Linked DNA regions of Cricetulus griseus. The protein of the gene in region 5 purifies or fractionates together with the protein of the main gene of each other region. This does not show direct contact. Links are inferred from orthologs where the notes say so. Each region holds a gene or a part of one and is shown on either strand. Other genes may lie near its edges. The genes, in order: Sf3b4, Sf3a2, U2surp, Sf3b5, Snrpa1, Srrm2 and Cdc40.

Evidence for each region.
Region 1: the proteins of Snrpa1 (region 5) and Sf3b4 purify together in Homo sapiens (affinity purification with mass spectrometry; 3 studies listed by BioGRID and IntAct, counting the BioPlex papers as one, with this or other methods). This does not show direct contact. The link is inferred for Cricetulus griseus from reciprocal best matches to the Homo sapiens genes SNRPA1 and SF3B4.
Region 2: the proteins of Snrpa1 (region 5) and Sf3a2 purify together in Homo sapiens (affinity purification with mass spectrometry; 8 studies listed by BioGRID and IntAct, counting the BioPlex papers as one, with this or other methods). This does not show direct contact. The link is inferred for Cricetulus griseus from reciprocal best matches to the Homo sapiens genes SNRPA1 and SF3A2.
Region 3: the proteins of Snrpa1 (region 5) and U2surp purify together in Homo sapiens (affinity purification with mass spectrometry; 5 studies listed by BioGRID and IntAct, with this or other methods). This does not show direct contact. The link is inferred for Cricetulus griseus from reciprocal best matches to the Homo sapiens genes SNRPA1 and U2SURP.
Region 4: the proteins of Snrpa1 (region 5) and Sf3b5 purify together in Homo sapiens (affinity purification with mass spectrometry; 5 studies listed by BioGRID and IntAct, counting the BioPlex papers as one, with this or other methods). This does not show direct contact. The link is inferred for Cricetulus griseus from reciprocal best matches to the Homo sapiens genes SNRPA1 and SF3B5.
Region 6: the proteins of Snrpa1 (region 5) and Srrm2 fractionate together in Homo sapiens (co-fractionation; 3 studies listed by BioGRID, with this or other methods). This does not show direct contact. The link is inferred for Cricetulus griseus from reciprocal best matches to the Homo sapiens genes SNRPA1 and SRRM2.
Region 7: the proteins of Snrpa1 (region 5) and Cdc40 purify together in Homo sapiens (affinity purification with mass spectrometry; 3 studies listed by BioGRID and IntAct, counting the BioPlex papers as one, with this or other methods). This does not show direct contact. The link is inferred for Cricetulus griseus from reciprocal best matches to the Homo sapiens genes SNRPA1 and CDC40.

What each region holds. Positions count from the first base shown.
Region 1 is NW_023276806.1:60,350,773-60,355,385, forward strand, and holds the start of Sf3b4 (splicing factor 3B subunit 4), read right to left. Parts: upstream 2,924-4,613; 5' UTR 2,800-2,923; coding exon 2,766-2,799; intron 2,381-2,765; coding exon 2,252-2,380; intron 2,005-2,251; coding exon 1,462-2,004; intron 1,215-1,461; coding exon 1,008-1,214; intron 1-1,007. UniProt on the Homo sapiens protein: Component of the 17S U2 SnRNP complex of the spliceosome, a large ribonucleoprotein complex that removes introns from transcribed pre-mRNAs.
Region 2 is NC_048598.1:101,584,119-101,588,223, forward strand, and holds the end of Sf3a2 (splicing factor 3A subunit 2), read left to right. Parts: coding exon 1-103; intron 104-215; coding exon 216-287; intron 288-1,190; coding exon 1,191-1,237; intron 1,238-1,450; coding exon 1,451-1,560; intron 1,561-2,052; coding exon 2,053-2,102; intron 2,103-2,175; coding exon 2,176-2,316; intron 2,317-2,407; coding exon 2,408-2,476; intron 2,477-2,559; coding exon 2,560-3,402; 3' UTR 3,403-3,514; downstream 3,515-4,105. Other genes in the region: Amh (muellerian-inhibiting factor), read left to right, coding at 3,844-4,105. UniProt on the Homo sapiens protein: Component of the 17S U2 SnRNP complex of the spliceosome, a large ribonucleoprotein complex that removes introns from transcribed pre-mRNAs.
Region 3 is NC_048597.1:204,121,401-204,125,423, forward strand, and holds part of U2surp (U2 snRNP-associated SURP motif-containing protein), read right to left. Parts: intron 3,493-4,023; coding exon 3,394-3,492; intron 996-3,393; coding exon 881-995; intron 446-880; coding exon 312-445; intron 1-311.
Region 4 is NC_048595.1:275,868,042-275,871,012, reverse strand, and holds Sf3b5 (splicing factor 3B subunit 5), read left to right. Parts: upstream 1-1,407; 5' UTR 1,408-1,556; coding exon 1,557-1,817; 3' UTR 1,818-2,101; downstream 2,102-2,971. UniProt on the Homo sapiens protein: Component of the 17S U2 SnRNP complex of the spliceosome, a large ribonucleoprotein complex that removes introns from transcribed pre-mRNAs.
Region 5 is NC_048596.1:131,213,454-131,217,936, forward strand, and holds the start of Snrpa1 (U2 small nuclear ribonucleoprotein A'), read right to left. Parts: upstream 3,219-4,483; 5' UTR 3,142-3,218; coding exon 3,060-3,141; intron 1,274-3,059; coding exon 1,126-1,273; intron 1-1,125. UniProt on the Homo sapiens protein: Involved in pre-mRNA splicing as component of the spliceosome. Associated with sn-RNP U2, where it contributes to the binding of stem loop IV of U2 snRNA.
Region 6 is NC_048600.1:43,336,753-43,339,673, reverse strand, and holds part of Srrm2 (serine/arginine repetitive matrix protein 2), read right to left. Parts: coding exon 2,019-2,921; intron 1,294-2,018; coding exon 1,006-1,293; intron 1-1,005. UniProt on the Homo sapiens protein: Required for pre-mRNA splicing as component of the spliceosome. As a component of the minor spliceosome, involved in the splicing of U12-type introns in pre-mRNAs.
Region 7 is NC_048595.1:263,392,774-263,397,286, forward strand, and holds the start of Cdc40 (pre-mRNA-processing factor 17), read right to left. Parts: upstream 3,145-4,513; 5' UTR 2,915-3,144; coding exon 2,726-2,914; intron 1-2,725. UniProt on the Homo sapiens protein: Required for pre-mRNA splicing as component of the activated spliceosome. Plays an important role in embryonic brain development; this function does not require proline isomerization.

The DNA.
Region 1 (4,613 bases), on a different chromosome or scaffold from region 5:
AAAGAGATAGGAGATTACCACAGTCAGTATATGTACAACAGAGTAAGGTGCTGGTTTGTGGCAACTGGCAGAAACATGTGTTAAACTTGCAAGTGGATGACAGTATACAAACTCCCAGAGTTGTGAACTTAGCTGCTACAAACAAGGGCTGTAGAAGGAGATGCTGGAAGGAGAAAAGTGAACTGTGGGTTGAGCAGCAGCCTTGTCTAGCCTGTCAAGAACCATGGACTAGAGACAGAAGGAATCAGTACCTGCACATTTAACACTACAAATAAACACTGGAAGAAGAACAAAGCACAAAATCTACACAGACAAAAAAGGGGGCTGACCCAGGTTGCTGAGGTTGATAAGTCACATAGAGGAAACAGTTTAATACATGCATAGCTCGTCATGTGTATAGTAGTGGTTAAGAAGCAGAAACAGGCCAGGCGTTGGTGGTGCACGCCTTTAATCCCAGCACTCGGGAGGCAAAGGCAGGAGGATCTCTGTGAGCTCGAGGCCAGCCTGGTCTACAGAGCCAGTGCCAGGATAGGCTCCAAAACTACACAGAGAAACCCTGTCTCGAAAAACAAAAACAAAAAGCAGAAACGGCTGCCCAGTGGTAGTGCCACCTTTAAACCCAGCACTTGGGAGACAGAGGCAGGCAGATCTCTGAGTTCAGGGCCAGCCTGGTCTACAGAATGAGTTGCAGGACAGTCAGGATCCTACACAGAGAGACCTTATCCCTAAAACAAAACAACAACAAAAAAAAATAAGCAAAAATGTCGCCTAGATCTGGCAACTGAGCTCCTTCCTGGGAATCAGAGGAGAGGCTGAGAGTAAAAACAGTAAGAACAGGCTATTCTGCAGAAAAAGGAAAAACCAGAGACAAGACGGGAGGGAGCTGAAGTACACACAGAAGTATTTTCTGAAGGAAAGGGAGACTCTAGACTATTTCCACCCAAGACAAAGAGCAGTGACAGAATCACTCTCACAAGCTCATCTCCGTTTCCCAGCAGACCACTTACCTGGATGGGGCATCCCACCTGGTGGGAATGGGTGAGGATGTGAGTGTCCGTGACCAGGATGCCCAGCTCCTGGAGTTCCTGCTGCTGGGGGGCCATGTCCTCCAGCCCCAGGTGGCATAGGTGGTGGGGGCATGGCTGGGGGTATCCCAGGAGGGAGGGCTCCAGGTGGCGGCACTGGAGGTGGGAAGGAGCCAGGAGGAGGCATGCCTATACAAGAAACGAGAGTCTATCTTGTGAAGAAAGAAAGACTGTCTTACAGAGCTCTAGCTTCCTTCCAGCACACTAAACTCCAGTCTCCCAAAGAAACCCAACATCTGCATCCCTTCCACCAGCACTCCTCATCCCTTTCTCGCTGCCCGCTGAGTTAACAGCTTACTCCCTCAGGGTTTCTTCTGCCTTCTGACCCTCCCTCCCAAGGGCCTCTCACTGGTGTAGTTTGAACTAAAAGCTTTACCTGGTGGAGGAAGCCCAGAACCCAGGGATGAAACCACAGGATTGGGGGCAGAGGGTGGAGGGGGTGCATCTGCGAACAGCTGGTGAGGACGGTCAGCCTGGGACAGCGGGTTCTGGGCTGCCAGAAGTCGTTCAGCTGCTGAGCCATGGCGCTCGCCTTTAGAGTCCTTCTTGAAGGCGTAAGACACAGTGATGGGTCTGTTACACAGGTACTGCCCATTCATGGCCTCAATTGCTGCATCCGAAGCATCAAAGGAGGCAAAATTAATGAAGGCATAACCCTTAGAGTTGCCTGTGTCAGGGTCCCGCATAATCTTGGGGGTTTGTAAGATGACCCCAAAGGCGCTGAAAGTATCATAAAGCAGCTTCTCATCGATTTCTGGGTCCAGGTTCCCAATGAAAATGTTGGCCCCTACATCCAGGTTTTTGTTGTGAGCTGAAGCCTTGTTCACCCGTATGGGCTTCCCATAGAGTTTGATCATGTTCATAATTTTAATAGCATAGTCAGCATCTTCCTCACTCAAGAATTCAACGAAGCCATAGCCTGGGGAATTGAAGAAAAGACTACTCAGATGAAGAGATTCAAAACGACACACTAACTCACCAGCCTCCAAACAAAGAACAAGTTGGAAGAATCCCAACTTCAAACTAAAGCTAAGAGACTACTCCTGAAACAAACTGCCAACTGAAGCTTAGAGAAAGAAACCATTCCAAAATAGCTGTGACTAGTGTTGAGATGCTTCAGGGGCCGCTAACCCAAAGTAAAGTCATTTCTTGCCGTAAATACTCACCTTGGTGCTGGCCAGTGACTCTATCCTTTGGCATGTGGGTGTTGACCACCGGCCCTGCCTGGAGAAAGAGCTCCCACAGCAGTGGTTCGCTCACTTTCTCGTCTAGACCGCCCACGTACACCGTGGCATCTAAAGCAAGAAAGCAGAAGGTAAGGACGAGGTCACGAGTTAAAAGGAAAACAGAAATTTAAAAAAAAAGTAACTAAAACCCTGAGATCACCCTTTGCCTGCCTAGTATAAAAAAACCCGCTCAAGTCTAATGTGGCGTTCTTGCGGATTGTGTACTTCCCGGTGGAGTTTCAATGATGCGCTTGGTAGCAGCGGGAGTGCCTACGGGAACCGGATCCAGAGGCATCACCCTCACAGGCCTCGGCCTCAACCCGGCCCCCAGGCCCAGCCCCCAGACGCGGGCCTTCCCGGGGAAACCTAGTTTCCCACGCTGGCGCTAACGCTTCTAGCACTCATCTGCCCTCCACCTCCCTGGGCCCACCTTGGGCTCTTCTCCCCCAATTACCCTGATTCCGTTCGGAGATGGGCCCGGCAGCCATGGCGAAGAGGCTCCCGCCGTCTCTAAGCGGCAGCACCGCCCTCTGACCTGTTACGACTTCCACTTCCGGGCCAAGGCTCCCATTGGGCGGGGCGGGCGGCAGGGGAGGAGCCGGAAGTGGCCGCGGCCATCTTAGGCGTCTGACGCGTGTCTGGAAAGACGCTGTGGTGGAGCTCTCACGACGCCCGGCTGGCGCCGAGGCGCTCAGGCCCCTCTTGACGACGCGGCTCTCGCCTGTCAGGCAGTCCCGCTGCTCCCCAGCCCAAATTTAAGCCCTAATCTCAGCCTTGTATGTTCTGTGACGCAGAGAAGCGTGCTGGGGGGAGGGAGGGGCGGGCCGGCTGCCTCGGGACGCAGCCTGTTACCTCAGTGCAGACGGAAGTGTCTGAGCCCCACTATTCGTGGGGTCATCTGAGGCACGGTGCCGCGTGTGTTCACGGTCAGTCTCAGCCTCGGGAGCACTCGGCAGCACCGTGCATCCCTCCCCTCCCACAGAAGAGACACTCAGAGAGCCTTCCTCCCGGGCCAGGACAGCCAGGGCTACACAGAGAAACCCTGTCTCAAAAAAAAAAAAAAAAAAAAAAAAAGGGGTTGGTGCTTCTTTCTCCAAATTTCGTCGGAATAGCCCCTCCTGTTTTGGGTCCTTAACTTCTTTTTTATCTATTTGTTTTGTTTCTCGAGACAGGGTTTCCCTGTGGCTTTGGAGGCTGTCCTGGAACTCGCTCTTGTAGACCAGGCTGGCCTCGAACTGGGTCCTTAATTTCTGTATCAATAATCTGGGTGCTTTTCTCTCAGTGCATACCCTCCCCCAACCACTTTACCGAGATCTTCATTCAACACAAGAAACAATACCAGCAATGTGTAGAAATACTGTGCTTTAATGAAGTCCTTAAATAGAAATACCACTACAAAAATATACAGTGGGAGGACAGGGTGTCTCCCTTATTTCCCTCATTCCCACAGAAGACTAAGAAACTGGATTTCAAAGCAGTGTGAGGGGTTGAGAATGAAGTCTCTGGGGCATCTTGTTGGAACTGATGAAGTGTCTCTGATCTCACAGTTTTGACAGTTTGTCATCTAAACGGCATGGAATTGCCAGAGAAAAAAAGGAAACGTTCTGAAGTGGTTTTGTTTCTTATTCCAGAGAAACAAAAATAGCTGGAGGTTGGTAGCTCCATGTCTGCTACAGAAACTCACTCACGGAGTGAGCTCCTTTATGGGCTGGAATGTGAAAGCTTGAAACACTGAGGTCAGATACAAAGAAACATGAGCAGAACTCCCTCCACATTCCCTCTGCCCTGCCTTCGAGAATGCTAGCAGTCTCAACGGATCTGAGAGAGGATGGTATTTGGATCTCTCTTCTTGCAGTGATCCTCAGGAGATATTCTTGGTGTCAGTTTTCTTAATAGTTCCTGAAGACAAGAGAGTTCATCCTGGAGGCCAGAGATTGTAAGAGCCGAGGAGCCCATCTGGGGAGGGGAAAACAAGGGCACAAAGGTCTCTCTCTCTTTCTTCCTCCACCCCTGCCCCCTTTCTCCTGGCTCCCTGTCTCTCTCTCTCTCTCTCTCTCTCTCTCTCTCTCTCTCTCTCTCTCTCTCTCTCTCTCTCTCTCATTTTGTTCTTTCAAGACAGGGTTTCTCTGTGCAGCTGTCCTGGAACTCACTTTGTAGGCCAGGCTGACTTCAAACTCACAAGAGATCCACAGCCTCTGCTTCCCAAGTGCTGAGATTAGAGCATGCACCACCATCTCCCAGAGAGCTTTCTTGCCTTTTTTTTTTTTTTTCTCCAAGACAGGGTTTCTCTGTGTAGCCTGGG
Region 2 (4,105 bases), on a different chromosome or scaffold from region 5:
AGGCAAGACTGGGAGTGGGGGCGTGGCCTCCTCCTCTGAGAGCAACCGGGACCGCAGGGAACGCCTGCGACAGCTGGCCTTAGAAACCATTGACATCAACAAGGTGGGGGGGTACCTACAGTAGGGGTGTGGAGGGAGCAGTGTCCCCACACCTACAGACCCAGGTTCATGGGGCCAGGCTCTGCGATCTAATGGGTACATATGTTCCCTCCAAGGACCCATATTTCATGAAGAACCATCTGGGATCGTATGAATGCAAACTTTGCCTGACACTGCATAACAATGAGGTGCGTGACCCCTGTCCCCAGAGCTGAGGGCTTCCTTGGGGTTGGTCTGCTTCAGTTGAATTCTTTTTTTTAATCAGCTATGCTGGGTAAACAGCCACTGGGCTAGACTATATCTCTGTCCAGTTCTTGAGACAGTCTCTGTATAGCTCTTATGAGGCCAGGACCTCCTGGCCCTCTTGCTCTGCCTCCTGCCTGACCCTGCACTGAAGGTGGCCTGGAGACCAGCTAATCCTTTTGCCCTTTTCTTTTACTGGCCTTGATGTCAAGACAAGAGCCAGCTGTTTGATCTGCGAATGCCCCACAGACAAGTGATGGGTGCCTACCAGCCACAGGGAAGGGATGTAACTGGTTCTTTTTCTCTGGGGTTCTTTTTTTTTTTTTTCCTCGAGACAGGGTTTCTCTGTGGCTTTGGAGGCTGTCCTGGAACTAGCTCTTGTAGACCAGGCTGGTCTCGAACTCACAGAGATCCGCCTGCCTCTGCCCCCCCGAGTGCTGGGATTAAAGGCGTGTGCCACCAATGCCCGTCTGGGGTTCATTCTTAATCCAGGAAGTTACCTCCCTACCCTCTCACTGGATGACCAGACCAATCAGCAGTAAATGGGATGCATTTGACTTTGTTGACAATGGAGTCAGGTTGACACAGCTGGGCAGGATGCCCAGGAGTTGTAGCCTAGGCCTCCCACCCCTTGTTGGGAGCTCCCCAGCACTATAGACCTTCGGTGTGTATGCTGGTCCTGACCATAGAACTTCTCAGGGAGGCAAAGAGAGTATCATGCATGTCTCCTCAGTGTAGCCACAGACATTGTGCATCCCCTGCAGGCTCCCATGCTGGACGCTGTTAAGAGTTGCCCTGCCTGTCCTGCCCTCCCCACCTTTAGTGATGTGTCTCTTTTCTCTTTGCAGGGGAGCTACCTGGCTCACACCCAAGGGAAGAAACATCAGACTAACTTGTGAGCCCTCACTTGGTGTGGCTTGGTGGGGAGGGAGGGAAAGGCCCACTGCAGAGCTTATGGCTAAGGAGCAAGGACAGTCGGGGAGACTGGTTGGTATACTCCAGGGCTGAGCCCTCATCCTGTCCGTGAGTTCCAAGGCCAGGGGGTTCTGACAACTGGGCTCTTGGCCTTGGCGGCTGGTAGAGGGACACCTGTGTTTCCTGTTTGTAGGGCTCGGCGAGCTGCCAAGGAGGCCAAGGAAGCCCCTGCACAGCCAGCACCCGAGAAGGTCAAGGTGGAGGTGAAGAAGTTTGTGAAGATTGGCCGCCCTGGCTACAAAGGTGTGTGGGTGTGGGTGTGTGGCGGCCTGCCCACGAGACAAATGGTTGTATCCCTGACCCAGGATACACTGGTCTCTAGGACACTCAGCTGCTGCTTCCTCTGTCCTCAGCAACCGACTGTTGGCAGATAAGCACCCATCCCCCACTAGAAACTTCCAGAAGAGGAAAGGGAGGCAGGTTGTCTGCAGTCAGTGCTCCCAGAGCCCCTCAGCAGGGGCCTTGAGTGACCTGGCCTATCCAAAATGCCAGTCATGTGGCCAACAGGGAGCCAAGTGCCCCAAGAGTCACCATTGACAGTCAGGGTACTGGAAAGCTGTGACATAGTGTTGCAGAGGGCTGTCCACACTGTCCCTACATACAGTGCTGGGTGGGTTGCCCTCACTTGGATCCTAGCTAGGTGGCCAAGGAGCAGAGCGGCCAGGCCTGGTAAGGGGAAACCTGTTCTGGTAAGCACCCATGACACATGACAGCCCCGTCCCCTGTGTGTTGCAGTGACTAAGCAGAGGGACACAGAGATGGGCCAGCAGAGCCTGCTGTTCCAGGTGAGGTGAGGCCAGTGAGGGGTGGGCCAGGCAACCAGGTGGTAGTGCTAAGGTTTTTGTGCTCGTCCCCCAGATTGACTATCCTGAGATTGCTGAGGGCATCATGCCACGCCACCGCTTCATGTCTGCCTATGAGCAGAGGATAGAGCCCCCAGACCGCCGCTGGCAGTACCTACTCATGGCTGCTGAGCCCTATGAGACCATTGCCTTCAAGGTAGTGACCCTGAGGACTGGAGGAGAAAGATAAATTCAGGTTTGTCTGTTTGTATTGGTCCCAGGGTGCAGCCTCTGCTTCCCTCCCCCAGGTGCCAAGCCGGGAGATTGACAAGGCTGAGGGCAAATTCTGGACCCACTGGAACCGAGAGACCAAGCAGGTAAGGTGTGGCAAGACTTGCCTGGGTACTCCCCTACCCCCACCCCCCCTGCTCCTCCAGCCTCTGACCCTCCTCCCCTGCAGTTTTTTCTTCAGTTCCACTTTAAAATGGAAAAGCCACCGGCCCCACCCAGTCTCCCAGCTGGACCCCCAGGCGTCAAGCGGCCCCCACCCCCACTCATGAATGGCCTGCCTCCTCGCCCTCCACTGCCGGATGCCTTGCCCCCACCTCCGCCTGGTGGCCTGCCTTTGCCCCCTATGCCCCCCACAGGGCCTACTCCCGCTGGGCCCCCTGGACCTCCCCAGATGCCTCCACCAGCTCCTGGGGTCCATCCACCAGCCCCAGTAGTCCATCCACCCACATCTGGGGTCCATCCTCCAGCCCCTGGGGTACACCCCTCAGCCCCTGGGGTACACCCACAAACATCTGGGGTGCACCCACCAGCCCCTGGGGTGCACCCACCAGCCCCTGGAGTGCACCCACCAGCCCCTGGGGTGCACCCTCCAGCCCCTGGGGTGCACCCACCAGCCCCTGGAGTGCACCCACCAGCCCCAGGTGTGCACCCACCAGCTCCAGGTGTGCACCCACCAGCTCCAGGTGTGCACCCACCAGCTCCAGGGGTCCACCCTCCCCCATCAGCTGGAGTTCATCCTCAGGCTCCAGGAGTACATCCACCTACTCCTGCAGTTCACCCTCAGGCCCCTGGGGTGCACCCCCCAGCTCCTGGTATCCACCCTCAGGCTCCTGGGGTGCATCCCCAGCCTCCTCCTGGGGTCCATCCTGCCACCCCTGTGGTCCACCCTCAGCCTCCAGGGGTTCACCCCTCAAATCCTGGTGTGCACCCAGCTCCTATGCCCCCCATGCTAAGGCCCCCACTCCCATCAGATGGCCCTGGGAGCATGCCTCCTCCTCCCCCAGGCAACTGAACACTGGCCCCAGCATCCCTTGCTGCCTGTGTGTGGCCTTTTCCTGGCCAGTCCTTGGAAAAGTTTTCTGTTTTGTCCTGTCCTGAGCCCATTAAACAGCCTCCCCCATGTCTCCCTGTCTGCAGTGTGTGTCTGTGGTGGGGGGTATGGGCGGGTGCTGTGTGCCTTCATTGAAGGCATGATGACCTGTGAGTCCTCCAGGTGGACTCCCTAGGCAGATGGGAACTACCCAAGGACAGTTCTAGCCTCTGCAGTTGTGGGCCTGGCTGTGAGGACAGAAAACCCTTTGAGAAAGCCACCTCCCACCTGCTGTGCACACAGGGCACCAGGCACTGTCCCCCAAGGTCACCTCCACCTCCGGAGTTGATAGGGGTGTCCCTCCCAAGCACTCTGGCTCAGCCAAACATATAAGCAGGGCCTCCCAGCCCTTGTTGCTCTACCATGCAGGGACCACCCCTCTCTCCACTAGTGCTGCTGCTGGTGACCATGGGCACTGTGTTACAGGCCAAGACCCTCAAAGAAGACCTCAAAAGAGCCACCAGCACCAGGGGCCTCATCTTCTTTGAAGATGGGATCTGGCCTCTCAGCAGTCCCCCAGAGCCCTTGTGCCTGGTGACACTGAGAGGCTTGAGGAACACAAGCAGAGCCCCGCTAAGGGTGGTAGGGGGCCTGGACAGTTATGAGCATTCCTTCCTGGAGGCTG
Region 3 (4,023 bases), on a different chromosome or scaffold from region 5:
TAGTAATTTTAGGATTGTAGTTCAGCACTGTTTAAAAGGATACTATTACCTTAAATTTATAACAAGACTTTTGACTTACAATACATAATATGAATACAGTCACAAATGTTCAACGAGTAAGTACTATTGCCATATCCTAACATAATCTACCATCGCTCATCTACATGAATTACTGAGTTAGACAACGTCAAAACTCAACACCTACTCCAAGACTTATAAACCATAAAAAATTTCTTGTAAGGGTACACTCAAAGTACTAATGTCAATACTAGCTTCTAAAATAAACACTCAATTATTTAATAATTACTTACAGGTTTTTTCGTTTCAATCACAAGAAGAGAGGGTGGCCTTTCATTGGACGACTGATTTGGAGGATTTTTTTGATCTGCAAATCTTGAAGATGGCTTATAGATTTTACCTCTTTTTTCATCTGTTTCATGTTCATCTGAAATTTAAAATACTAAGTTGTAAAACTAACTTCATATAATTTTGGTTTTTGTTATTTCTATTTAAGAAGACAGTTTTAGTATTAAGATTTGGATATAAAATTAAATTTAATTATTACCACTCAACCCTAAAAAGTCACAATTCAATCACTATATAGCAAAACTATGTAACATTAAAATTTCTGCAACATAATCTGCTTTTTTTTAAAAGCTTGGTACTAAGTATTTTTCTTATTAACTCCTTCATACAGTCCTGAAAATCACATTCAATGTCTCTTCATTACTCCATATTTGGTCATTTATTTTGCTACTCAGTCTAACCACTAGAGGGAGCTAATAGAAAAGAAATGTGAAGCTCAAAGTCAAATGTCTTCCATAATTAACGTGTTGCTGCGTCATCCAAGGTTTGTTCAAATCCATATTTCTGCACTTACCTTTAGCTGCATTAACAACCCCGCCTCGAACAAATGTTTTCACTTTATTACCATCACTTCCTTCAAAAGCAGCAAGAAATTCCTCATAAATTTCAGCAGCTGCCTTTTCATCCTCCTAAATACATAACGAAAGATTAGTGACGTGAGAAATGCTATGTAGGTATGGCTTGACTTGTTTTTGTTTTTTGAGACAGGATTTCACTATGTAGCCCAGGCAGACCTGAATTCACTATGTAGACTACACTAGCCTTGCACAGAGAAATCTGCCTACTTCCGCCTACCAAATGGTGGGAATAAAGACAAATGCCTCTATGCAGAGAGACAGCTCAGCAGCTAAGAGCTGGCTCTTCTTCATGAGGATCCAGGTCCCAGCATCCACATGGCAGCTCACAACCATCTGTAACCTGGGTCCTTGGGGATCAACTCCCTCTTTTGACCTCTCTGGGACCAGGTATACAGAGGTCACAAACACATACAGACAGGCAAAACATCCATACACATAAAAAAGAAAAAAAGAAAAGAAATTGTATACACAAAGCTTCTTCCTTCCCAAGTTATTCTAATATCTACTACTTGGTAGACATTAGACATTACCAATAATCATATGCTAAATAATTAAAACAAAAAGCATTTTCTCCTTTATTAGAAATTTAAAGACGCAGAAAATAATTTACAACATATGGGTAAACAAGTAAATCATTTCAAAACAATTCAAGAGCCAAACTGTAAGACAAATGACTGTATGAAAATATAGTAGTCTATTACTATTTAAGAAGTTCTCCAAGGGGCTGGAGAGATGATGGCTCAGAGGTTAAGAGGACTGACTGTTTTTCCAGAGGTCCTGAGTTCAATTCCCAACAACCACATGGTGGCTCACAACCGTCTGTAATGGGATCTGGTGCCCTCTTCTGGCATGCACTGTATACATGATAAATAAATAAATTTAAAAAAAAAAAGTTGTTCTCCAAGGCACTATGACTTAATTCATCATAAATAAAAATTTCATTCTCAAATAGCCAAAGCCAAAGATACAATAGAAGCAAAACTACAGTACCTATTTCTAACATGGCATTAAAAAAAAAAAAAAAAAGCTAAAAAAACTGGCATTCTCAACTATACATCATCTAAACGTCCCCAAAATATATGAGTAAGAATACCAAGCTGAGAATGATGGCACATGTCTATCACTTCAGAAATGAAGGCAGGAAGACAGAGTTCCAGACCAGCCTGAGCTACATAAAGAGACTCTACCTCAAAAACCCAAATCAAACAGGAAAATGGAACAATTAGAAAAGAAATACATCCAATAAAAGGAGTATCTAGTGTCAGAGGGAGATACACAAACTTTCCCATAAATGAAACTGACATAAAAAACTACTTGAAAAGAGATAAAATGACATCAATTATTTGTATTATATGCCAGGAAAAACTGCATGAAGATTAAATTTTCTTAAAAATGGAAACAATTCTAGGAATTCATTGGGATTCTTCTAAGAATGCAGATCCTAGAGGAAAATCCTTCTATAAGCCAGAAATGGAAAAGAAAAAAAGAAAGAAAAAAGAAAAGAAAAGGCAAGAAATCATGGGGAAAGACTGAGCACTGAGTATAACAATAATTTTTACAAGAATAAAACCAAAAGAAAAATAAAAAGAAATAAAGCAGGGGAGCGAGGTACTCAACTGTATTCCCACTGAAAGATCTGCAAATTCAAAACTACACTGAGGTATTATTTTTCATACTACAAATTGGCAAAGATTCCTTCAGCAAGATTCACTACATGCACGTGTATGGGGGTGGGGTCATCACTTTTATTAGTATTCACTCCAACTATCTCCCCTTTCAGGAATATGTCCCCAAAGGCAAACTAGGAAAAAAAAATGCACATATTCATAAAAAGCATTTGTAACATAATGTCCGAAGAGCAAAACCAAAAATCCCTCAATAGGATTTTTTGTTTGTTTGTTTTTGTTTTTCCAGACAGGGTTTCTCTGTGTAGCTTTGGAGCCTATCCTGGCACTCGCTCTGGAGAGACCAGGCTGGTCTCAACTCACAGAGATCCACCTCCCTCTGCTGGGATTAAAGGCGTGTGCCACCAACGTCCGGCCCTCAATAGGATTTTAAATGAACAAACTATTACAAACCTACAAAGCTATAAAAATGTAGGATTTCTCTATCCTACAAGTACTCATAAAGATATAACATTTGGTTAAAAAGAGTAAATGGAGGAAAGTACTCTTACTCTATAGCATACTATCATCCATCTAAAAAGGAAGATAAAAAGGAAAAGGGTACAGTAGAGTACATGCACACACAAACACACACACTTTGACAAAATAACTGATCATCACATAGAGCTATAGATCAGGGGAAAGGAAGAGAAGCTTCCTTATGTTAAAGACTTGACTCAGACGTGGAGTTGCAAACACGTAAGAAGTCAAATTCTTCAGAAACATGGTCTCTACTGCTTACACATTCATTTCAAAGCATAACCTAAAATATACTTAAACATTACCTTTTTCTTTAGTTCCTCTTGCTCCTTCTTACTTAAAGTTCGCTTCGCTGTGCTCATTTTTCCAATGCTGAATGCTTTAAGCTTGTTTTCTAGAAGAGGCTGTAAAAAGAAACAAAAAGATTATTTTGTCTTTACATACATATTTTAATGTTACTTATAAATTTAAAATATGTTAATTTATAGCCAAGTCTTTAGAAGAGTTACTGTTTTAAAGTACCAAATGCAAACAAAAGCTGGGGTTACTCCAAGCAGACTATGGTTTTGAGGTACATACCCACTCAATGAGGAATGCTCTTTATTTCCTAACTCAAAGTCAGTAACAGGCAAAAGGCTTTTTTACAGGGAAGAGGGGTTAAAATAAAAAAGAAACACAAACCAAGGTGTAGTTGGTTTCTTTACTCTTTGGGGGCCTGCCATTCAGCTCCCAAATAAATGCACAGAGACTTTTTCTTACTAATGAATGCCCAGCCTTAGCTTAGCCTGTTTCTAGCCAGTTTTTCTAACTTAGATTATCCCATTTCTCTTTAACTACGTTTTGCCTCTGGACTTTTTACCTTTATTTATTCTATACATCTTTCCTTCCTTCTTACACCATGACTGGCCCCTGGCATCCTCTCCTCCTCCTCTTCT
Region 4 (2,971 bases), on a different chromosome or scaffold from region 5:
TGGCTGTTCTGGAACTCACTTTGTAGACCTCTTCAGACCTCAATCTCATAGAGATCCACCTGCCTGGGCCTCCTGAGCGCTGGGATTAAAGGTGTGTGCCACCACTGCCTGAGGCATTCTTAATGGCACTGGAATTGCACTAATTTTTGATTTATTTCTTACTAACAGAATTTTCATGCAGATTCTACTTGTCTTAGTTGAAGTTTCTCTTGCTGTGACAGAACACTATAATTAAAAGCAACTCAGGGATGAAAGATTTATTTCATTTACTCTTCCGTATCACAGTTCATCATCTAAGGTAGGCAGGGCAGGAACCTGAAGGCAGGAGCCAATGCAGAGGCCATGGAGGGGTGCTGCTTAATGGCTTACTCTTCGTGGCTTTCTCAGTCTGTTTTCTTATTCAATTCAGGACTACCAGCCCAGGGGTGTCCCCACTGTAATAGGTTGGGCCCTCCCCTATTATCAGTCTCTTTGACTGAGATTGCTCTTTGTCCATTCATCAGATTTTTCTTTTAAAGAATACGATCTCCATCAAGCTATATAATATCCTCAAAGGATATCAGAAAAGAAGTACAGTATCTTTTTCTCAAGTAGTTTATACCTTTGTGAGGAGATACATAACCTCTAAGTTGAACATAAGGTGTAACCAGGCAGAAAAACAGAAGGAGAGAGTACTTGTCTTGAGACACAACTGACTTCCAGAAAATGATTGTAAGCAGCCTTAAAGTTAGGAGGTTGTTTGGTTGGAGGGCTCGGGCCCCTGGGTGGTGTGAGGAGTTGGAGCCTGGATTTTGATGTGGAAGACACCTGGTGTTGACACTCATCACCAAGCATTTAGGACCCAAAGAACTTTTCCCACTACCCAGATCCTAAGGGACAAAGCTGGGACCAAGGGCGGTCCGTGTGAGCTTCTAGGTACAAGAGATAGTTTTCCTGGTCACTTGTAGTCGTAATCGTTGGACACCATCCTACATTAGTCAGGCAAAAAAAAAAAAGAAGAAAAAAAAGGAAGGAAGGAAGGAAGGAAAGGAGGGAGGGAGGGAGGAGAAAGAAAGAAAGAAAGAAAGAAAGAAAGAAAGAAAGAAAGAAAGAAAGAAAGAAAGAAAGAAAGAAAGAAAGAAAGAAAGAAAGAAAGAAAGAAAGAAAGAGAGAGAGAGAGAGAAAGAAAAAGAAAACAAAAAACCAAACCAAAAGAAAAAAACACGCCAAATTCTTTGGACTACAAATCCCAGAATGCAACGCCGGAGTTAGAACGTGATCACCCAAGAGCCACTCAGCAGACCATCATGCAACGCTCTCCAAGTAGGCGGGCTCGCTGAGGGGACGGCCCAATGTTTCTTAGGCAACTCCAATGCCGCGGCAGGATTCACTTCCGCTTCCGCCTGGGAGAAGAGCGTCTGCGCAGGCGCCACAGTGGCGTCTTTCTCCCGCGCCTACACAGATAGAAGTTCCGTGTCGGGCCGGCAGCGGCGGCGGCGGCGTCTCTCAGGTTTGAACGCGGAGCGGGTAGCGTCGGGTCTGCGGCCTGATCTGGAAGCCTAGAGCGGAGCGGCGAGATGACGGACCGGTACACCATCCACAGCCAGCTGGAGCATCTGCAGTCCAAGTACATCGGTACGGGCCACGCCGACACCACCAAGTGGGAATGGCTTGTGAACCAGCACCGGGACTCCTACTGCTCCTACATGGGTCACTTCGACCTCCTCAACTACTTCGCCATCGCCGAGAACGAGAGCAAGGCCCGCGTGCGCTTCAACCTGATGGAGAAGATGCTGCAGCCCAGCGGGCCGCCGGCGGACAAGCCCGAGGAGAACTGAGGCGAGCGCTTCCCAGGCTCCCCCGCCGGCCAGCGGTGGGCCGGTCCTCCTTGCTCGGGCTTCTTCATCGTCTGTCACGCCTGGCCTGCTTACCTGTGGACGATTCCGAACAAGTCACCGAGAGACTGTCGGGACCCCCGGGAACTGTGCGGGAGGAGCGACCCTAGACCCGGCAAGCGAGGGAGAAGACGCCACGGGAGTGATGACGCGTTTCTAATGAGTCTGCCTTTCAGTAGTTGGTTGTCCTTCTTGCCATGTTTATAAAGTTTAGGATTTGTCCTATCTTTTGGTGTGGATTGCTGTGTTCCTTGGGTGGGGTCTGGGGAGGGTGCTGTGGACCAAGGTCTCAAGATGTTGCACGTTGCATCTGTTTTTCTTGAGAGTTAGTCTGTGTGTCTTCAGAAATGAAGAACGGATTTTTTTTTTTCATTCAGTGTTCACCAGAGCGTTTTCCAAAGGTTTGGGGGCATACATTATGCCAATTTGGAGAAAGGCTAAAATAGACCAGGGCTAGATGATGCAGGGAGATTGAGGAAGCTTGAAGAATTCGCAATTTTAAATACTATGCTTGTAATGCTAAGATATTGCGATGATGACATTTGAGAAAAGATTTTACGGAATCCAGAGAAAAACCGTGCAGAGCATGGGAAGTTGCTTACCATCTAATAGGGCATTCGTTGGTGTGTTTTAAGTTACTGAAGGAACACCAAAAAAGCAATGAGTCGCTGGGAGTGGCACACACCTCTAATCCCAGCACCCAGGAGGCAGAGGCTGAAGGATTTCTTGAGTTCAAGATCACATGAAAAAACCGGTAAGAGCCATTCACTGAGCGTTGTGGTACACGCCTTTAATCCTAGCACTCCAGTACTCTGTAGGCAGAGGCAGGGGATCTTGAGTTTGAGGCCAGTCTGCAGGTGGAGTTTCAGGACTGCCAGGGCTACACAGAGAAATCCTGTCTGGCTGCCTGCACCCCCCCCCCCCCAAGCAGTATGGCAGGAAGGGATGAGCAATAGAGCACAGGACAGCAACAGGAAGGAGAGGCTGGTAGGCCAATGCAAGGACTTGCTGAGGGAGGTCTTTGTTTAAAACATGATCTAATGCATTCTAGAAAAAGATTCCCAATCACATTCTTCTAAATTCATTACACTTTTAAA
Region 5 (4,483 bases):
GTTTTGCCTGCACTTATGTCTGCATACTGATTGTGTGCTTGGTGCCTGTAGAAGCCAGAAAAGGGCCTTGAATTCCCTGGAACTAGAATTGTGAACTGCCACACTGGTCTGGGAAGGAGAAGAACCCACTTCATCTGAACTGGAAAAGGAGCCGCCAGTAGGCTTAACCACTGAGCCATGACTCCAGCCCCTAGAAACTTTCCTTAATAAAAGCTATGTCTTCAGCAATTCCGGTCCCCTGACAATAATTCCCACAAGAGGCACTGACCCTAACAGAAACACCAGTACCAGGTACGAGAAACCTTCCTTAATAACTATATTAATTCAATTTTTATATGAAGCTGATAAACAGCCAGGTGGTAGTGCACATATTCAATTCCAGCACTTGGCAAGGAGAGGGAGGAGGATCTCTGTGAGTTCAAGGCCAGCCTGGTCTACCAAGTGAGTTCCAAGACAGGCTCCAAAGTTACACAGAGAAAAACCTGTCTTGAAAAACAAACAAACAAAAAGGATGTTATTGAGACAGGGTCTCACTCTGTAGCATCAGTTGTAACTTGCTGTGGAGACAAGGCTGGACTGCCTCAGCCTTCCAACTGTTAGGATTAAAGGTGGGCACCACTACACCTGACTTTTATAAATCATTTTTATTATGATGCTGTTGGTAATTGCTCTAGAATCTGAAATGTATACAGAGCAACATGTTTTAAATTTAAATTCAAAGTTTAGTATCAACTACGAATACTAAAGATCTCTGAAGATAGCAAGTAAGGTCAGACCAATGCCCACGTTAGTCTCCCAATCTCTTAGAAAAAGTGCTCGATTCATTCCTCCCTTTAAGAAGAGACATGGAGAGGCTGGAGCACTGGCTGCTCTTCCGGAGGACCCAGATTCTATTCCTAGTACCCACATGAGAGCTCACAACTGTCTGTAATTCCAGCTCCAGGGAACTCACACCCTCTTCTGGCCTCCAAAGGCACCACAATGGTATACAGATAGTGCAGACACACTTGCAGGCCAAACACTAATATACATAAAATGAAAACTAAAAACAAATCATGTCTTTCTTCAGGGTACATTGTAACATCTTTTCAAGGTAGAAAAGTATTCTCACTAGCAGACACTCACCAAATTCTGTTGTTGTTCACTAATAATGTTTTCAGTCTTCTCAATAAAGGAAAACCATCCAGTTTCCTGATCTCATTATCAGAAAAATCAATAGCATCAAACTGGTCTAAGGTAGCACCTAAATTTTCAATGACAGGGATTTTATATCCTGTAGAGGGGAAAAATACATACAGCAAATATTAATATAAATGAAAGGTCCTGAAAACAGTAGGAGCATCTGATTGTAATTAGACTCAAAGTACTCATTCAAGAAGTATTAAACCGGCACGGGTGCCATGTCACACTCTGTACAAAAATACTGAAGATAAGTGACAAATGAGTTACAGGGTCCTTACTGCCTCGAAGCGTGTGGTCATGCAGTAAACTTGAAGAGGAGGTTGAAGGCAAGAACAAGAACACAGGCGTATACTTAGTAATATTGGTGTCCACTGTTTATGAGAACATCTACAAGGTATTTACACTGTTCAAAGTTCTTAAGAGTGTCAGGCTCTATGTCAAGTTAACACTGCTTACTGTTAATGCTCAAGTCTTGCTGGGACACTGGTGACCAGCCTTCTAAACCATTCACATAACTCAGCAGTATATCCTCATGCTATCCTGACTCACTCTCTTCTCCACCAGCTCCAATTCAGAGCTGAAAATGGTGTCTATACAACCACAAACCACACTGTGAACATCCCCTTGATTGTCTAATGGGCATAACCATCGAGCTAGGTGCCAAAGGAAGAAGAGAAACTTAGTACACAACTTTCACTCAGTTGTGAAAGAGCGCAATAAAATAAGCTTTATCAAGACTGCATGGTCTTCAGAGATGCAGCAGAGACCAAAACTGTGTGCCAAGACAGTAAAAGGGTTCAGATACCTCTGAAATGGACTTTTGTCTGAGAAAGCTAATGTCTAACAAAAGCACTAGGATTTTCTATAGGTCAGCAAGGCATTTTAGCAAATGGCAGAGTATAGTCCCCGAGACTGTGGTTGCCTCATGACACAGTTATATAATCCTAACCCCTTTCAAAGCCATCTCCTGAAAAGTAGATAACTGCACTTTCAATGCTATATTTTGTTATTATTGTCATTTTCTTGTTTTATTCGACACAGGAGACTAGGCTGGCCTCGAACTCAGAGATCCGCCTGCCACTGCCTTCCGAGTGCCGGGCGTGTGCCACCGCTGCCCAGCTAATGCTGTGTTTTGTTTTTGTTTTTTTAAACCAAGCTCTACTCAACAGGTTAGTGTTCACCACCCCTCACATGGGAGTGATGACTATAAGCCTTGGTCAAACAGATCAAGCTAGAAAACACCTTCTTATAAAAGTGAATTATCAGGGGCTGGGGACCTGGTTCTGTGGGGCGAGTGCTTGTTTATCAAGAACAAAATCCTGGGTTCATCCGCAGCACCATATAAACATGGGGCACACGTTTAAACCCAGCGCCGGGAAGTGGAGGCAAGAGGGCCGGAAGTTCGAGAACGTCCCTAACTACACAGCGGTTTGAAGCCAGCTCTGAGTACAGGAGACCCTGTCTCAAAAAACAAATGAGCAGACCCAAAATGGAATTATTGTATAATTAAGATAACTTTGACTTATATCTAATCTACCCTCACGTGTCATATTAACGCATTTGCTAAAAACCAGCCGGTCGCGGTCCGGAAGATACCATTTTCTATTTTCCTGGCCCTCAAACAGTTCAGGCTGCTGAGCATGCCGGGCAAAGCCTAACGAATACGGACCCGGGAAGGAACGGAGAAGCCGTGTCTGTTAGCGGGAGCGGGTAACAGACGGCTCCAAAGGGTCCTGAGGGACCGGCGATCGGAGGAGGTACCCTAAACCCGGGCGGGAGGCCCCCGGGCCAGGCTCCGGCCTCCGCGCACGCGGCGGGGCCCGCTCCTCCCGGCCTCGCGCCGAGCCCGGACACAGCCCGCGATCCCCCTAACTCACCGCGAAGATCCAGCTCGCGGTCCCGCACAGCATTGGTGTACTGCGCCGCCTGCTCGATCAGCTCCGCCGTCAGCTTCACCATCCTGCCGCCGCCGAGTCCCCTCACCTCGGCCACCGGCCTGCGCCTCCCGCCAGTGCCGTGTCCCAGGGTGCACCGCGCCGCGCTGCCAGACAAAACCAATCGGAGCGGCGCTCACCTCGACCACCAGGCTAAAGCAATCGATCGAAGGCACCGCCGGGCGTTGCGATCGTCGTCTTTGCTTCTTGGTTCTTCTTGGCTGGTGCGTTCCTGGAGTGTGGCGAGCCCAGATTCCAGATATTTGTGTCCAAAAGATAAGAACACGAGAGAGGCACTCTCACTTCAGTGAACCTCGAGGCTGGGGTATTTGGGATTGTCCAACAGGGGGCGGACACTCCGCCAAAGCTTCAGGGATTCAGGTTTCTAAGATTTGCGGTCCAGCAGAGACAAGGCTGGGCCATTCGGCTGGACTGCCTTAAGATGGGCAACATCCGAGCTAGTATGGTCACCTTAAAGCCTCAGGGTGGACTTGCGGCGTCTAGACATTTAAGTATTGATGTCGAGGGGCTAGCCAGAGAGATGGCATAGAGGTTAGGGGCACTTGCTGCTTTTGCAAAAGACTTTTGCAAAAGGAGTCTCATTTCAGTACCCAGTTGTGCACCTCACAACTGCTTGTAACTACAGCCCCAGGGATTCGTCGCCCATTTCTAACCTCCTCGGACACCGGCAATCGCAAACATAAAAATAAAATAAAGCTTAAATGATATTCATATTGTAAACTGGGCGTGGCGGGGAACGCCTTTAATCCCAGCATTTGGGAGGCCAGATCTGTGAGATGAGACCAGGTCATTCTGATCTACAGAGCGAGTTCCAGGGCTATGCAGAGAAAACCCGGCTTGAAAAAAACCAACAACAGCAACAAAATTCATATGAAGAGCAGGGGCGTACACACATCAGAAACCTGACATTTGATGAATGCCAACAGAGTGAACACACACACCTGCAGAGCCTTGGCCTCTGTCCCCAAAGACGGCCAGGAACCCAATTCTACGAATTAGTGCGCTTATTTTTTATCTTAGCTTATTAATTAGTGTATATGCCACTTGTTTGTGGGTGCCAGGGGAGGCTTATGGCCTGAGATTCCCTGGAACTAGCTGTTGTAATCCTGTGGACATGTGTATTACAGGCTGAACTCCAGTCCTCTGCAAAAGCAGAAAAGCATTCTTTAAATCTTTTTTTAAAATTACCTGTGTGGTTTTGTGCACATGGGTGAAGATACCCACAGACTTCAGAGATGCTAAATTCTCTGAGATTGGAGTTACAGGTGGTTGCTGGAAATGAACTCAGGTCCTCTGAAAGAGCTGTAATGGCTAAGTCAGGGGATGACTTTGAACATCTCACCTCC
Region 6 (2,921 bases), on a different chromosome or scaffold from region 5:
AAACCTCACACCACACAGGGCCAGCCTCAGACCCACCTTTGTCCGCACTCACCCATCCGCCCGCACACCATCCACCGAGTGCCCCCAGTGGACAGGGCACAGGGTGCAGCGGGGGATGCAAAGATAAAATTTGAGTCCCTGCCCTTGGAGTTTTGTTTGGTAGTGAAGGAGGTCAACAATGAAGGCACACATGCCCCCTACATAGGAAACAGGCCAGTGGGGATGGATATGCATGGGCCTGGGAATCCCGAGCAAGGATGGGGACCTGGGCAGGGCAGGGAAATGGCAAGGCAGTCTTCTCGGAGGTGCTGTTTGAGTGCAGTCTTGCAGAACGAGTTCACCAGGCAGACAAGGAAATCCCAGGCAGAAGGAACAGCATGTCCAAAGGCATGGGGCTCTCCTTAGACTGCAAGGCGCTGGGTATGGCTGGAGCACAGGGCATGTGTGGGGGCGGGCAGGAGGAGCACAGGGTGGGCAAGGGCAGCTGGTGAAGAGCCTCACACGCCATTCCCGCAGAGGTGGCACTTTATCCTGCAGGCCACAGGGCGTCCCGGAAGGATTTGTGGAGTGAAGGGAAGTAACCAGATGTGCGTTTTAGAAAGATCCCTCTGGCTACGTGTGGAAGAGAATGGCGTGGAGGCAGGGAGACAGGGAGGAGGCTGTGGACAGAGTCGGGAGAAGATGACGGTGGCCAGACCAGAGCCCTGCAGCAGCAATGGGGAGACTTAGAGCTAGAATCTCTGAGACCAGGCTGCTTGTCAGGGGAGGGGAGAGGGAAGAAGAATCCTATAACTTCCCAGTTCTGGCCTGGACCCTCAGTTGAATAGTGCAGCCTTGACCAGAACACAACAACACTGTGGGAGGATGGGAGGAGTGTCGGACTCCTCCCGTACAACCAGACGCAGACTTCCACACTAGGCACCCCAGCAGGAACCTCACCCAGGGTCCCTTTTCTGGAGAGCTCACCCCCAACCCCCTTTCCATAACAGGCAAGGAAGCACTCACCTCCTCTCGCCAGGGGGTGGCTTCTTGGGGCTTGCAGGTTTGGGTAAGGCCTGAGGGCCAGGCTTAGCAGGGGAAGGGGAGGAGGAAGAGGAGGAAGAAGAGGAAGAGGAGGAAGAAGAGGAAGAGGAGGAAGAGGAAGAAGAGGAGGAGGATGAAGAGGAAGAAGAGGAGGAGGAAGAGGAGCTGGAACTAGAGCTGCTAGAGCGCCTCTTCCGTTTGGCTGGGGTTGGCTCCTGAGGACGTCCTTCTCGAACAGCCTCCTTTGGGGCTGGGACGGGGCTGGGGACCCTGTGAGAGAAGAAAAGTGTCACAAGGAGACAAGAGGCCCCAGCCCCAACCCTACCTTCCTTGGCCTGGAGGAACGGCAGTGGGGGAGGGGTGCCTGAGAAAGGCCCTGGGAACACACGAAGGCAGGCCAGTAAGCACTTCTCTGCAGCAGTGGCACAGAGCTGACCAAACCTCTGCTAACACAAGCAACAGGCTGGGGCCCGAAGCACAAGGGATCAAGGTTAAACCTCAAGAATGTCCCTGATGAAGGAATAAGGCCCCTGGACTCAGATGTGGAAGCTGAAGCTGGGTGGTCTCCTTCCTTGGAGAGCCGCAGCTTGGGAAGGCCCCTGTGAGTGCAGGTTGGCTGGGGAGGGGCCGTCCTGCCTGGAGGCAGGGAGAGGGATGGGATGACCTCTGAAGATCCTTCCAGCCCAGGGAGTTCCTCTTGAGGTCTAACTGCCATCCCTCCTGCTGTAAAATTAAGTCCATTTCCTCTAGTTCTGTCCTCTGTAGAGATGGAAAACTTATCATTATCCTCTGGAGAATTAACCTTCGGAGACTGTTATCTGTCCCATTCCTCCCCACAAAGCCCCCACCCCAGCAGTCTTTCTACTCCCAACTTGAAGGTCAAGGTCCCCCACACTTTTTCAAAATGTCAAGTACTTGTGACAAGATTTCTCCCTCCCTCCCAACTCCCCCACCCATTGTAAATACCTTCCCCCTAGATTCCTTAACTCCCTCACCTTTTCAGTGCCACCTCAGGTTGAGCAGGAAGGCTGGAGCCCTCAGAGTCGCTAGAACTGGAGCCAGAGGAAGAGGATGATGATGATGATGAAGATGAGGAGGAGGAGGAGCTAGATGATGATGAAGAGGAGGAAGAGCTCCGACGTTCCTTTGTTGGTTGCAGAGCAGCCAGTGAAGAAGGCTGCTGGGCCCCAGTAGAGGCTGGTGGTTCCCCACCTTCAGCATGGGGCAGCCCTGGGGCAGGGCCAGAAAGCATGCCATTGTGGTCACTAGCAGAGGATGTGGACTTTGCTACAGTCCCAGATGAAAGGGACTGAGACCCAGCTACAGGAGTGGTCTGGGCAATTGAACGAGATTGGTCTGAAAAAGCAGATGGCACAGGGGACCGAGGCCTATCCTGTGCTGGAGGGAGAAGAGATTGTGAAGGAGCCTGGACCATTCTTGAAGCAGGGGAAGAAGCCCGCTCAGAGGTCATTCTAGACTGGCTGGGGGCAGATGGTGGTGTTCTGGACCTGGCTCGGTCAAGCAATAAAGGTGAGGTTCTGCCACTGACACGCTCATAAGCAGAAAGGGGCACCCTGGGACTGGTGAGATTTGCACCAGACAATGCTGGAGCCATCCTGGCACTGGAGAGATTTGAGGGAGCCAAGGCTGCAGGGGTTCTAGAGCCAGCAATATTCACAGGAGCTGTGCCATGTGCAGATCGAGGACCCACCAGGTTTGCAGGAGTAGGAGCCTGGGGTGTTCTGGAACTGGAGGGATAATTTGCAGCAGCCGGGGGTGTCCCAGAGCCTGTGAGACTCAAAGCTGCCAGTGCAGCTGGTGTTCTAGCTCCTGCTAGGTTCACAGCTGTGGCTGCAGGGGCTCGAGGATCAGCAAGGTTCACAGCTGAAGGAGCTACT
Region 7 (4,513 bases), on a different chromosome or scaffold from region 5:
AACAGTGGTGCAACAGCAGGAAGAGAAATTTGATAAACATTACTCAGTTACAGCACGAAAGGTACCCATTACCATAAGTAATGGCTGAAAAAGTCAATTCCTAGAGAAATAAGGTACTGTGGAAGCTGCACTAAGGAAAATAGAGAGGAAGAAACTAATTTGAAAAACAAAACCCTAATGAAGCAGAAGTATCAGATGAACAACTAACTGGCTCCAGGCACTGAGGAAAGAAAAATAATGAGCTTCTGTTTCATGGCTTGGGCCATGGATCAAAAACAAAATGGGAATACAAAAGTGGACTCTGAAGAAAGAAACTGAAGTTTTCAGTGCACTATACAAAAGGGGCCTAAGAACCATCCTGGATGAGTTTTTTTTTTTGGGGAGGGGGGGTTGAGACAGGGTTTCTCTGTGGCTTAAGAGGCTGTTCTGGAACTCACTCTGTAGACCAGGCTGGCCTTGAACTCACAGTGATCTGCCTGCCTCTGCCCCGCAAGTGCTAGGATTAAAGGCGTGTGCCACTACCACCCGGAGAGATTTTTTTTTTTTTTATTAATACTTAAGCTGGCAAGGAGTTTAGGACAGTTTATCAGGGTAGTTGGCATTTAATCAGCATGTATTATTTGATACAGTTAAAACTGCTTCGAATTTCTGAAAATAAGTAGCTAAACCTATTTGAAAGATGAATAAGAACTGGCTTAGCTCTTAAGTAATATATCCAAGTGGCCATGTGTGTAGTGCTAGAGGTAGATCTGAATAACACTGGAATCTTGACTCATTTCATGCCTATGTTAACTTCTTCACAGTAGTCACCTCTGAGGGGATGGAACTTGAAATAAGGGCCTAGACCTAGGAGGCACTAAAGCTGAAGGGGCTGGCAGAAGATGAGGGAATCCAGAGGCTGCAGAATACTCAGTGGAAGCTGCAGGGAAAAAATGAATTGAGATAGAGAAATTCTTTTTTTTTTTTTTTTGATTTTTGTTTGTTTGTTTTTTTCCAAGACAGGAAAATATATGTGAAAAATATATGTGAAAAAAAAAATCTCTGTGGCTTTGGAGGCTGTCCTGGAACTAGCTCTTGTAGACCAGGCTGGTCTCGAACTCACAGTGATCCACCTTCCTCTGCCTCCCAAATGCTAGGATTAAAGGTATATGCCATCAATGCCTTTAACAATGTTATTTGATGCAGAGATTCAAGTCAGATGGAAGGACCAATTAATGCAAGGCCTAAGACATCATTCCCATGAAGTTGTTAATCAAGAAGCTAAGGCTAGACTGCACTGAGCTTGGGGGGGGGGGGGCTGTGACAAAGATGGGAAGAATGCAGAACCAAAAGCTTAGTTTTCTACGGAACAGACTGAGGAGGCTAGTGAGATGTCCTCAGTTGGGAGAGCTTTGTTTTGTTCTAAAGATAGAATTCCCAGCATTCTTTCATGCCAGATGTCCTTATTTAAAAAAAAAAAAAAGTTTCATAAATGGCCCGTCAAAACTTGTGAAAGACTTAAGACACAAACAAGACCTCCCTCGCTCCTCCCATCTTCCGAGGGAAGTTTTGTACAGATTCCTCTCCACATTTTGAACACCCACATGGAGCTAACTACTGATTGACGATGCTCTCACTGAGTTTAAGACATCAGCCCCAGACACACCAAATCTCTGCCTTCCTAGGTTTGCAAGTCACCTAAGCTTGCAAACTCTTGCCTTAGTTTACAGGGCTTCGATTTCTTTGAACTGACTTTTTATCTCCCCTCAGAGAGGATCTGAGCATTCTACAAAAATCACACTGCTACCTTCTTCTTTATTTTTCCTTCCTGAAACAGGGTTTCTCTGTGTAGCTTTATCCTGGAACTGGCTCTGTAGACCAGGCTGGCCTTGAACTCACAGAGATCTGTCTGCCTCTGTCTCCTGAGTGCTGGGAGGCTTGCACCACCACCATCCTGCCTTACCTTATTCTTTACCATGGTTATTTCCCCCTCCCAGTGTTCAATCCAATCTGTAACTACATTTTTGTCCACATCTAATTGATTCCAGTATGCACTAATGCTCCCAGTATGTTCGGTTTTGTTGGCCTCTGTGGCTTTCAGTCCTGTTGTTTCTGGAAAATGATACGTGCTTAATAAAGAACTACATAGCTGGGTTTTTTCCTTTATCACCTTCCTTCATTGGGTCCATGCATGCTACTTCTTAAAGCTTATGCCCCTTTCCCACTCGTTGTATTAACATATACAATCACAAATAGCTAGCATGTATTGCCCTCTTACTAGATTATTAGGCTCTGTGTTATATAAACTTTACTATATAATTTCACTTAATCTTTACAATAACCCCCCGGTATAGGTAAGTTTTTAAACAACTATCTCCATTATACAAGAGGAAGTTGTATAATTTGCAAGTAGTGAAGCCAGGATTCGAGACTAGTTTCTTAAAAACAAAACAGTGCCTGGCCACGGCTCGCTTCTGGTGAGGGCACAAATTCTAGTTAGGAAGTCCTGATGCGCTTTTAGCTATGTTCTAAACTTCTGCTCTAATAAGACTACGTCCTAGCCTAGAATTCAAACTTTCTTCCCCTCTTGGACCACTTTTATGCGATGGAGACAGCAGAGGGGTAGTGGAGGAAGATGTGGGACGACGCGTAAACGCTAGTAATTTACTTCTCAGCACCTCACCGGAGACGAGCGGTTTGGGATCTGAAACCAATTCCCGCACCCATCAGTGACCAAAACACTTACCTTAACCGCCACCTCCGGAGCCGAATCTACCGCCACTGTCAGAGAGGGCTTGGCTGAAGGCGATTTGGTCAGGTGCATGAGAGAGTCGGCGGCTGGCAGCGGACACCGACTGCCCTCACTGTCCGAGTCCGATTCGGACCCTGAACCCGAGCCATACGAAGCAGCTAGAGCTGCAATCGCAGCGGACATGACTGCAACAGATCCTCTCTGCTGTGGTCAGGCCAGGGCGGAAGAAGCAGCGACTCCCAGGTCCTGACAGATTGCCAAGGAACACTTTATTTACCTTCTTTAACAAAAAATCATTTATAACTTCCTGAAAAAAATATAATGATTATTACTCTGACTGCATCAGTATCTGAGACTCGCAAACATTAATCTAGATAAGCACAAGGAATTACAACTACTTATAACTTTCAGGACCTCGTTGATTAAAGCCCCACAGTTCTGAGATACCTTTGAAGCCTCGAGGTCCTCCACTCCCGGCGTGCAGAGCGGTGGGAAGCGCGAGGCACCATGGGAATTGTAGTTTGGAGGGAGGAGGCGGAGCCGGGCTGAGGGGTCGGCCTTCGACCCCGCCCCCAAAGGATGGTTCATTCAATTGGATATCATCTTCCCTCATTCCCTAGCCCAGCATCGTTCTCTGCGGCCCCCTCCCCCAAAGTGCGGATTGGGCAATACCACGGAGCCTCAGGACAGGGGGAAGCTCCGTCCTCTTGCCCACGGACGAGTACGTGAGCGGAGGCTGAGTCTCCCGCCCTGCGACCCTACGCCCTGCGGGACTCAAGGGGACAGTGCGAATCTTCAGTTCGGAGACCTGGGGCCCGCCTGGCGCAGCTCCGGGGGAAGGTTGTGGGGCGAGGCGGAGAGCGCCCCGCGGCTCCCCCTGCTGCAGGCGCGGGTCCCCGCGCCCGGTTGTGGAGCGTCGCGCGGGGAGGGGGCGGCGCAGGGCAGCGGCGGCTCGCGGTGTTGTTCGCTCGCGCGTCGCGCGCACCGCGGCTCGGGCCATCAGTGGCGCCCCCGGCGGCATTCCCGGCGGCCCGGCGCCCCAGCCAGTGCCCGGCGCGGCTTCCACCCCGCGGCCCGGCGCTCCCGAGGGGCTCTCGGTGAAGTCCCAGCGCGGAGCGGGACCGGCGACCGCCGCCGAAGCATGAAGAAGGGGTAAGGCGCGAGCCCCCCACGGTTTCTCGGTGAGCACGAGTCTGTCAGGATTTTGTCCCCTTTCTTCCCCGGGTCCTGGCAGGGGAACTGCTCTCCATCGGCCGGAGCCGAGAGGGGCGTGTGTGGGAGCCCGGGTCTGCGGCCGCGGCGGCGGCGATGATGGGCGCGCCGCCCGCCCCCGCCCCCATCCCGGGCTCCCCCGCGCCCGCCGCCTAGCAGCCCGGGCTGCGCGTGGAGGACGAGGGCGCGGGTCTCGGCTGTGGGGACCAGCCCGAGGCTGCTCCGGGTGCAGCGGCGGCGGCGGCGGCGGCTCTCACCTGCGGTGCCGTGCGGTCCGGGGCGCGCGGCTCCCACCCCGCCGCCGCTTCGCCCTCGTGCCTCGGCGCCGGCCAAGGCTGCAGCCCACCGCGGAGCCCCGGCTCGCCCTGTGTGCCTGCCGCTCTGAAAAGCGAGCTCTGGCCGCGCGTCTTCGCGCCGCGGCTCCCCGTGCACGACAGCGGTAAAGCGGTAAAGCGAGTGCGGGTATCCCTTTATTTTCCCGTGTGGAAGAGAAGCGGTTGCCGTCTCTTCTGATGCCTGGGAATCGGGAGGTTCCTCGGGCAGAGTTAGGGAGATGCTCGCCGGGCTCTG